Oryzias latipes: one gene and its partners. The protein of the gene in region 1 interacts with the protein of each later gene in a biochemical or structural test. Links are inferred from orthologs where the notes say so. Each region holds a gene or a part of one and is shown in the gene's direction. Other genes may lie near its edges.

Evidence for each region.
Region 2: of the proteins of cdk2 (region 1) and wee1, one has a biochemical effect on the other in vitro, tested with the Homo sapiens proteins (3 studies listed by BioGRID, with this or other methods). The link is inferred for Oryzias latipes from reciprocal best matches to the Homo sapiens genes CDK2 and WEE1.
Region 3: the proteins of cdk2 (region 1) and skp2 form a complex in vitro, tested with the Homo sapiens proteins (3 studies listed by BioGRID, with this or other methods). The link is inferred for Oryzias latipes from reciprocal best matches to the Homo sapiens genes CDK2 and SKP2.

The regions. Positions count from the first base shown.
Region 1 is NC_019863.2:27,094,311-27,098,069, reverse strand, and holds the start of cdk2 (cyclin-dependent kinase 2), read left to right. Parts: upstream 1-1,478; 5' UTR 1,479-1,797; coding exon 1,798-1,913; intron 1,914-2,497; coding exon 2,498-2,575; intron 2,576-2,672; coding exon 2,673-2,793; intron 2,794-2,870; coding exon 2,871-3,041; intron 3,042-3,301; coding exon 3,302-3,403; intron 3,404-3,483; coding exon 3,484-3,687; intron 3,688-3,759. UniProt on the Homo sapiens protein: Serine/threonine-protein kinase involved in the control of the cell cycle; essential for meiosis, but dispensable for mitosis. Phosphorylates CABLES1, CTNNB1, CDK2AP2, ERCC6, NBN, USP37, p53/TP53, NPM1, CDK7, RB1, BRCA2, MYC, NPAT, EZH2.
Region 2 is NC_019864.2:7,427,255-7,429,730, reverse strand, and holds the end of wee1 (wee1-like protein kinase), read left to right. Parts: intron 1-154; coding exon 155-300; intron 301-824; coding exon 825-981; 3' UTR 982-1,865; downstream 1,866-2,476. UniProt on the Homo sapiens protein: Acts as a negative regulator of entry into mitosis (G2 to M transition) by protecting the nucleus from cytoplasmically activated cyclin B1-complexed CDK1 before the onset of mitosis by mediating phosphorylation of CDK1 on 'Tyr-15'.
Region 3 is NC_019870.2:24,272,270-24,275,435, reverse strand, and holds the end of skp2 (S-phase kinase-associated protein 2), read left to right. Parts: coding exon 1-116; intron 117-742; coding exon 743-794; intron 795-1,183; coding exon 1,184-1,291; intron 1,292-1,723; coding exon 1,724-1,943; 3' UTR 1,944-2,640; downstream 2,641-3,166. UniProt on the Homo sapiens protein: Substrate recognition component of a SCF (SKP1-CUL1-F-box protein) E3 ubiquitin-protein ligase complex which mediates the ubiquitination and subsequent proteasomal degradation of target proteins involved in cell cycle progression, signal transduction and transcription.

The DNA.
Region 1 (3,759 bases):
TCTGGATCCAAATGATAGATAATTTATGCTGAACTGTTGACGTCTTTGTGATATCACTGCACTGAATGGTATAACGGGAGCAGTGTATGCGTGTTGTGTATACACAGTTCTGAAAAATAAATGAAAAATAAAAAATACATAAATTCCAGTGTTTCATCTGAATTAGAACCACGTTACTGCAGAGGGCTACTTATGTAATTCAATAATTTATACCAACATAAAAGTGATTACTTGACAATGATATTTCAATTTCGATCTCTTCAAATACATATATATATATATATATTTATATATATATATATTACAATGAATACAAATAGAAAAGTTGAACAAAGGAAAAACTTTTTTTTCTTTTTGTTAGTGTAAAATTTGGTTTACAAAAGTAGAAAATTAATAATATTTTCTAACATACTTTTCTTATCCTGTGGCAAAGATAGTCCATTGGAGTCTATACTTTAAGTTTACTTTTTATACACTATATATTGAAGACATAAAATGTAATAATTTATTCTGAGAAGTATTCTGTTAGTATACTTCCTGTACTGCATGTACATGGAGTATAGTAGGCGTACATTTGCTGTAATTATACTTAGGTATACTTAAGAAGTAAACTTTAGGTGTACAAGTGTACTACTTTTTTGCCAAAAAGTTGTCAGGAGTGGTTATAATCTTTTGGGATTTCAGTTTTATCTCACTAACAAAAAACAGTGTGAATGTGTTTGACAAGGAAATGCTGCACTAACAAAGAAACTAATAAAACACTTAAAAAGGTTTTGTCTCAATTGAAACTTTGAAGTCTTTTTATTTTTATTTTGACTGTTTATGCTTTTTTTAAAAAACTTTTATGTATTATTACTTTTGTTGATTCATTTATTGAATTATGTGTTTATTTTTTTTATTTTGTTTATTTTATTATTATTTATTTCATTTTATTATTATTATTATTATTATTTTTTTGTTATTCAACCTCATGGCAACTTCAATAATTTGCACTTGGTGTGAAATTCTGTATGTGCAATGTTTGTCAATAAAGTTATTAAAATTAAAAAAAAATAATCTCCGTCTTTGATTTTTGTTTTTTAACTGATGGTTAAATTGGAATATAAATGCATTTATGAAAATGTATACATTGATAAAAAAAAATGTTCCAAAAATACACATTATTTGTGGGCGTTAAACTTTTTTCCCTTCATATTTAACCGCTTTTACGTAGCTTTCTGGTTCCTTTACGCCGTAGACCATGTGACCAAAGAGTGCGGCTTGTTTATTATTCCGTTATACGCCGGAAGACGAGGAACTCATTTCTCCAATTACACCAGTTCGCAATAAAATCATTGGATTAAATACAATAAACATAGCGGTCTACCTTCACCAGTGCCATATATCAGGACTGACTTTAATTACTGCTAAATTCAAGAAAAGGGAAAATAATAAATTGCTTCTGCTCTGAACGGTACGGTGTGTCTCGAGCACAAAAACGAACGCCCGCAACACAACGCGGGAAACGCCGTTGTGTTGTTTTCCACCGCGGAGCAACCACCGGGCTAATCCTCAATTTAGGGGTTAGTGTTACTACCTGACAGATGTTCACCTGTCCGTTTTTGTGTGCCGCTCTCTGACCGGAGAGAGTTTGTCCTCGAACGGGACCCCTTGGTTTGGTTGTAGCCTGGACCGCATGACGAAACCCGGAGAAGCGGGTAATTGTAGGTCGGTCCCCGCGCTGCTTAATGCTTGTAGCCTCCGAGAAGACGTTAGCTCCGAAACAAAGAAAGAGGTCCGGTCCGATTCTGGTGGGAAATGGATACGTTTCAGAAAGTGGAAAAGATCGGAGAAGGGACGTATGGAGTGGTTTACAAAGCTAAAAACAAACTGACCGGAGAAACGGTTGCGCTGAAGAAAATCCGACTGGATACGTAAGTGAAAAGTTCTTCTTCCTGCTGGTTGAAACCTCTGAGAAGCGTTTGTTGTGATTCAGATTATCTCAAATGCTTAATTCCAGTCCCCTCATGAAACAGTTTCATTAATTACAGAAAAGACAAAACATTTTAAATTCACTCTATGTACAAAGACCTAAAAAATAAAAGTAAATAATAATACAAAGTTGAAACAAAACTGACATGTTACAAAATAAAAGCATTCAGCTCTTGTTTGGTTGGTTTCACTGTCAAATTAAACCTACTCAGTTACATTTAAAATCTATTCACCATCTGTTTTATTCATCTCTATTTGCCTTTGGGGGTAATGGAACACTAAACACAATTAGTCAATAAATTGATCAAAAGTGATGATTACAAATTCATGTGCATTTGTCCATAAAGTTTTGGAAAAGCATCATAAACACAACAAATTGCTTTAATTTAAAATGATTCTTAATCAAAATGAATTATTGTGCAATAACTAGGAAAATTGTATTCAATTTATCAATGGGACAAAGGAAGCATTTAACTTCATAAAACAATCTCCGCTGATCCTTAAATTTGTGATTTCTTTAATCCAGAGAAACAGAGGGCGTACCAAGCACAGCGATTCGAGAAATTTCACTTCTTAAAGAACTCAGTCATCCAAATATTGTCAAGTAAGTGTTTAACCATGCAGAAATATGTTTATTTTGTTCAAAAGAATCCCATTTTGTGTGATTTTATGTTTTAAACCAACTTTTTTTTTTTGTCCAGGTTGCAGGATGTGATTCACACAGAAAACAAACTCTATCTGGTTTTTGAGTTCCTCCATCAGGACCTCAAAAAATTCATGGACTCTTCCTCTGTGACTGGCATCCCGCTGGCTTTGGTGAAGGTGAGCGTCCTCTTTAAAGAGAAGATCCTGAAACTGTCCAGACCTGATTCCTTGTTCTTACTGTCTTGTGTTTCTAGAGTTATCTCTTCCAGTTGCTGCAAGGCCTGGCTTTCTGCCACTCTCACAGAGTTCTTCATCGGGACCTGAAGCCCCAAAACCTCCTCATCAACGCCCAGGGTGAGATCAAACTGGCAGACTTCGGTCTGGCGAGAGCTTTTGGAGTGCCGGTCCGCACCTACACTCATGAGGTACAGTGTGCTCCTCCCTTTCTTCATCTGTAACAAGGTACGAATCGATCTGATAACAGCTGATTTTGTTTTTCTAATGTGGTTCAGGGATTTTTAGTGCTGGATAGTGAGAAAATGTTTATTTTAAAGGATAAAATCCCAAAATATGTATTTTCTTAGCTTTGCTCTTTCAAAATCTGATTCAGACCTTTTCTTGTCTTGTATCAGGTTCACATAATAAAACATTAGAGTCGTTCTTGATTCTTTGTGGTATCTTTCAGGTGGTAACACTTTGGTACAGAGCCCCAGAAATCCTCCTCGGCTGCAAATACTACTCCACAGCTGTCGATGTCTGGAGTTTGGGGTGCATCTTCGCTGAAATGGTAACGCGCTCGACCCCAAGACCAACTTCAATAAAGAATTAGGAGCACGCTGATAATAAACTGATGGTCTGTGTTCACAGATCACCAGGAGGGCTTTGTTTCCCGGAGACTCTGAGATCGATCAGTTATTCAGGATCTTTCGCACGCTGGGCACACCTGACGAAACGGCGTGGCCCGGAGTCACATCCATGCCCGACTACAAGCCCTCCTTCCCCAAATGGGCTCGTCAGGATTTATCCAAAGTGGTTCCGCTTCTAGACGAAGATGGAAGAGAGTTGCTCGGAGTGAGATTTTCTTCTGATTGCTACATGTTTTACTCTTTTCCTGTTAAATATCTGCAAACGCGTTAATTAAGA
Region 2 (2,476 bases), on another chromosome or scaffold:
ACCTGTACCTAAAATCGCTACTTCTGCGCGTTCGCATCGGGACGCGCCCCACTATTTGAGAAGCACTCCTTTAGTACAACCAGTATGCTCTTCTAATATATTAATCCATGTCAAAAATATTTAAAATTAATTTTCCTCTCTTTTTGTTTTCTAGCTGATGATCCACCCTGACCAGGTCAGACGACCTTCGGCCTCCGACCTCATTAGACACCCGGTGCTCCTGACCTCTGCCAGAATGAGTGCAGACCAGCTACGAGTGGAGTTGAACGCTGAAAAATTCAAGAATGCTTTGCTTCAGAAGTGAGTACGACAGGTTGGACGGCGTGGAACGTGGAAATCATCGCAGCGTATCTTACAGTCATCAAAAAGTCAAATGCTGAACTGAAACTGGTGCAGATGTTCACATAGGAAATGTAAACATTTTTCAGCTGTATTTTTAGAACTTGTAACTGACAATACACATTAACCCTTGTGCTATCCTAGGCACTTTAACATTGGGAGTTGGGTCATCTAGACCCACTAGACAGTGCTCTGAGCCTTTTTTTCTTCACTGATTTGTGATCTTCACTGGTGTCCATAAATTACATGAAATCCTCTCCACCTTCTGGTAGAGATAACACGTCAATATAAGGGTGGGGTCATCTGGACCCCACAAGATAACACAAGAGTTAATGAACAAACAAAAACAGTTGCCTTTTCAAGATGAAATTTCAGTTTTTGTTCTCTCTTTTGTTAAAGAAGTCTTTAAAAGTCTTTTTGCTGCCGTTTTGTATTTGACTGACCACTGTGGCCGTTTGAATGAGTTCTTGTTTCTTTCTCTGCAGGGAGCTGAAAAAAGCCCAGATGGCCAGAGCAGCTGCTGAGGAGAAGGTTCTGTCCACCGACAGAGTCCTGACCCGCTCCACTCTCCAGTCCAACCTCCGAACCTCAAGACTAATTGGAAAAAAGATGAACCGCTCAGTCAGCCTGACAATCTACTAAGACTTTGAAGCCAACTCTCAAGGCTTAAGGACCTCCTAACCAGACTTGGTGTGTGGTTTTTATTCTCCTGGACTGCTGCCACACAGAACTGGAAGTTCTTTACACCTTTGTTGTATAGTTGAAACCTTCTGCCCATCTGTGTCTTTCTTGATCAAACGGTCATCCGTCAAAGGCCGTTGCTTTACCCTTCACAGTCCCGGTGTTGCGTGGAGATCAGGCTCTGCACCGTTGTGTCCTTGCACTTCCCCTTGAAGACGCTGAAACCCTTTAGTAGCAGATCAAAGCTGCAGTGAAGCCCTCTCCCGTGTGAATGTACTTGCCTCTACCATGTGCACCTTACTGCCTGTCATAAGCCTGATGCTGGGTGCAGGACTGCCTGAGGATCGATCACGTCTCTGTTTGTAATGGAGCACTTTGAAGGCACCGTGTGGTCACAGTGTTGGCCACGTTTTGTTTTGTTTTGCAAAATATGAAAAACAAACTTGCTGCTATTGAGTAATTTTTTGTGTATCAGGGTTTGGTCAGTTTCAGCTGGATTCTTCTACAGATAGTTGGCTTTTATTTTCAAATATAAACCAGTCATTTGCATATTTAGTTTTACTGCTTAGGAGTGAAATCAACTGTGCCATTTTGGTGAAAAGAGACCGTTAGTTTGAATGAATCCGGCCTTGATCAGTGCTGCCAGCCCTCCCTGTAGCATTAGAACAGCCACCGTCCTGTTCGTCATATTTTCATGTGTTCTGCTGTCACAATTCCAGCTCGTCCTTTTAGATTAGTTGTAATCGTCCGTACGTTCTTGTAGCTTCAGACACAAGAGCTTCATGTTGTAACATGTACATAATGTTCTTTAAATAAAACCTCATCATTTCTCCTCTTCTATTTTATTTGTGCTGTTTTTGTGTTTTCTTCTTGTTTTATAGGATCTAAAAGCATTGGGATAACTTTCTGTGAATTTTTTGAACATGTGGATGCTTGACCTTTTAGTCTGGACCCTTTTGAGCGCTTTTTACTCTTTTTTTTACAATGTGCTCAATCAATTTTGTGGCAATGATTGTTATCTGGCCTCTTTATTTTTCTTTACAGATAGGAACACAGAGGTCCCACTCTGATTTTTAATAGAACATGAAAAAAATCCAAAAACTCAATTCAAAGTTGCATTTTTAACTGGAAAAACCTAAAAAGTGTAGACAAATGTAATCTAATAAATACAAAAATAAGGCAAGATTTAAAAAAAAAAAAAGCAACACTCTATTCCTGGGGATATCACAATTCTCTCATAACTTTTGCGTTGTTCTTTTTAAACCAAAATGTTTCCAAACTGAAAACCTTTTTGAAAGTTGAAGTTTAAATTTTCAGTGAAAACTATGCTAACAGGGCAGTCGCTGTCAGTCCTACGTCACTGTAAACAGCTGATGTGTTTGGCAAACTCTGAGTTCAGAGACTACTGAGGGTTAAATGGATGTATGTACGAAGTATGTTTAGGTAAATATGAAAA
Region 3 (3,166 bases), on another chromosome or scaffold:
AAACATTTCATGGTGCGGCTTCAACAAGGACCACGTGAAAAGTGTTGTTAGTAATGTCAGCCCCAGAGTCGTCAGCCTGAACATCAGCGGGTACAGAGAGAGCCTCACGTTAGACGGTAAGCCGTGGAAACCTGATTCCATAGGAAGGGGACTCCTCCATCAGTTCTACATCAGAAGTGCCTTCGAGGAGAAATTCGACTGACGGTTGATCACACTGGTTTTTACAACAGCAAAGCTGTTTGAGGCTTTGTTTGCTTAACCAACCAATCCAGAGGATGGAAACAGAAATCAGACAACACAAGCTGTTATAGCTTAGTCACAACTGCCCTCACGGGTCTATATGGAGCATGTGGGGGGGCCCGCACATAACGTCAAGGTTGTAGATCACCCAGTGAGCCCATAGCCCATCTTCAAATCCTCCAGTCTGCACATAAAGCCTGTTAGTGCTGTTCAAATGATTAATGCTGTTATAGTTTAGTGTTTTCCTTTTTAATCGGATCTGATTTCCACAAAGTCTGTAATCAGGACCCCTGTTAGTAAAGTTCTTTCTTTATTTTTACATTTAAACTCAAGGTGATAATGCATACAGGGGGAAATGGAAGTGTGACCAAACTCTATGCATTACATTTTTTTAGTTTTATTTTCAATTTTCTTTTCCTGCAATGCCAAGTGTGATAGTTTCTGGGAATAATCATGAAATCTTTTTGCTGTCACTGATGGGAATGGCGTGCGTGTTTTACAGATGTAAAGATCCTGGTTGACAGATGTCCTGAAGTTCAACACCTGGATTTGAGGTACCGTCCCGCTCCAGCCCAGAGAAACAGAAACACCAGATGCGTTCATTCAGAACTGCTCTTCATTAAAGTCCCACTCCGATCATCTATTGTAAAAGGGTTCCCAGTTGTCTTTTAAGTACGCTTATGCTGTTTTTAGCAACAATCAAAAGCCTGTGTGGTTCTCTAGGACACAGAGCAGTTATATAGAAATCCACCTCTGAGTTGTGGATGGATTTGTTGGTGCTTAATTATCTTTATATATCTCCATCATGAGAAAAATCCCACAAAAACATTTTAAAAACACAGTTTTTAATTGGAGTGGGTCTTTAAGTAAAGGGTTCTCCTCAGATGAACTGGATTCCTAAGTTCTGTCTCTATCAGAATTTCACTAAGTCTTTGTGTTTCAGTGACAGCACCCTGCTGATGGCTGACAGCTTCCTGGTTCTCAAACAGCTGAAGGATCTGCAGCACCTGTCCCTGAGTCGCTGCTATCACATTCACCTGGCTGCTCTCACGTAAGTCCTCACCTGGAGCTGCAGGGTGGATCTTCAGCGTCCTCCGTCCTAATGAATCATTGCAATGAGAGAGGATTGGACCACAATGGACCATGCTCATTAAACATGAACCAGGATATTCAGTTGGTCCTTCTTTTCAGTCACCTGTAGGTGGTAAAATTAAGTCTTTTTTAAAATTTGATTGGGATTAAATGTAATCGTCACAGTAAGCCGTAAGGCTGTAGCTTTGTCTCTTTACAGTTCAGTAACCCCTGACTCATCATTCTTTAGATGCATATAGGATCATGTGCTCTGTTCTTTGTTTAAATATAAGCTCTTTGCAGAAAAAGGGTGGAAATGTGTAAATGCTGATTGTTGGCTGAAAAGTGAAAATCTGGTTGGTTTGAACAAATTGAAGTTCTGCAGACTCAACTTTCTGTGTTCTTCCTGCAGGGATCTGGGACAGACGCTGCCCTCTCTGCGCCTGCTGGACGTCTTCGGCCTCGTGCAGGACAACCAGCTGCCGTCTCTGAAGAAGGAGATGCCTCACGTCAGCATCAACTCCATGCCTTTCTCTAGTGTGGCTCGCCCTACGCCCGCCAGCAAACTCCCGGGGTCCCACGGCGACCGCAGCATGTGGAACAGGAAGTGCCGCCTCAGCTTCCAGCTCTGACCGCGGACTCAGTCCTGTTTTGTTTTTTTAAAGGGACAGTTTGAGCTGCAGAGCAGGATCTACATGTCAGTTCTAGACGAGGCTTTAATCTCTCTGGTACCAATGACCCATCAGTCCTCGATGCTATGTTGGCAAACTCAAAGAGAATTGTGTCATTTAGAAAACATTTGAAGGTTTAGCCACGTGTAGTAAGTTTGAAAGCATTTTAAATCTGTTGAATGTTCTAATAATGTTAGAACTTTTAAAAGGACGACACTCGGATCAAGGCATGACCGGAAAATGCTTTTGTTCTTTGCTGCTGTTTGAAAGGAATCGGTGAGCGGTTTTCCTTTTGCTGTCAAATGTCTGGCTTTAGTTGGTGCTGAAAGCAGTGTTATGTCATTGTTGGATGATGGGAGGAGCCTTGTTTGTGGTTCCAATTCCCTAAGGCTGTTATTTTTTTTTTATGCCTCTGTTCTAAGTCAGCATTTAATGATCCTTTTTAATGGATTTTACCTTCAGCGATTGTTGGTTATCTGTTCTCATGTGTTTGCTTTTAGAGTCTGAAGCACAGGAACCGAACAGCCAATGATGCTGCAGGAGGATTTCACAAAGGTTATATTTTTGTAGTAATCAGACTGATATCTCTAATGCTCATTCATGATGACTCAAAGGTTTGGAATGCAAATGAACTACCCATTAAAATCCCTTTTCTTACCCTTTCTTGTCTTTTATGTCACCTAAAGCATTTTTAAAGACGTCCTTTGAATCAAATCGCTGCTTGGTTAAAACTCTTAACTGCACGTTATATCCGAAAAACATTCCTTCTTGATAAGGAAGGTGGTCCTCTGAGGGCACTAGTTTTACAAAATATAGTTTTGTCCTCACTTTTCTTATTTTTGTGCTCTAGGTTCTTTAGTACTCCACATTATTTTTGATTCAAAAGAAGTGGAAAAATTCAATGGAATTGATTTTTGTCTCCTCTTAATTTGAAAATGCTTTGCTTTCCGAGTTGGTCAGGCATCACATCATTTTGTGTCAAAATAAAAAACAAGCTAAAAAATCCTTGTGTATAGCGAAAACTAAAAACCAGCTTAGGGATGAGGGAAGAACCATCCACCCCCCCCCCCCCCCCCCCCCCCCCCCCATTTGGAGCCTCCTGGAGGAGGGAAGGAGGTTGTCACTTAAGATTTTACAGTACATGGCTCCGCCCATCCTCCCATCTACACAATGAAGTAGTCTTT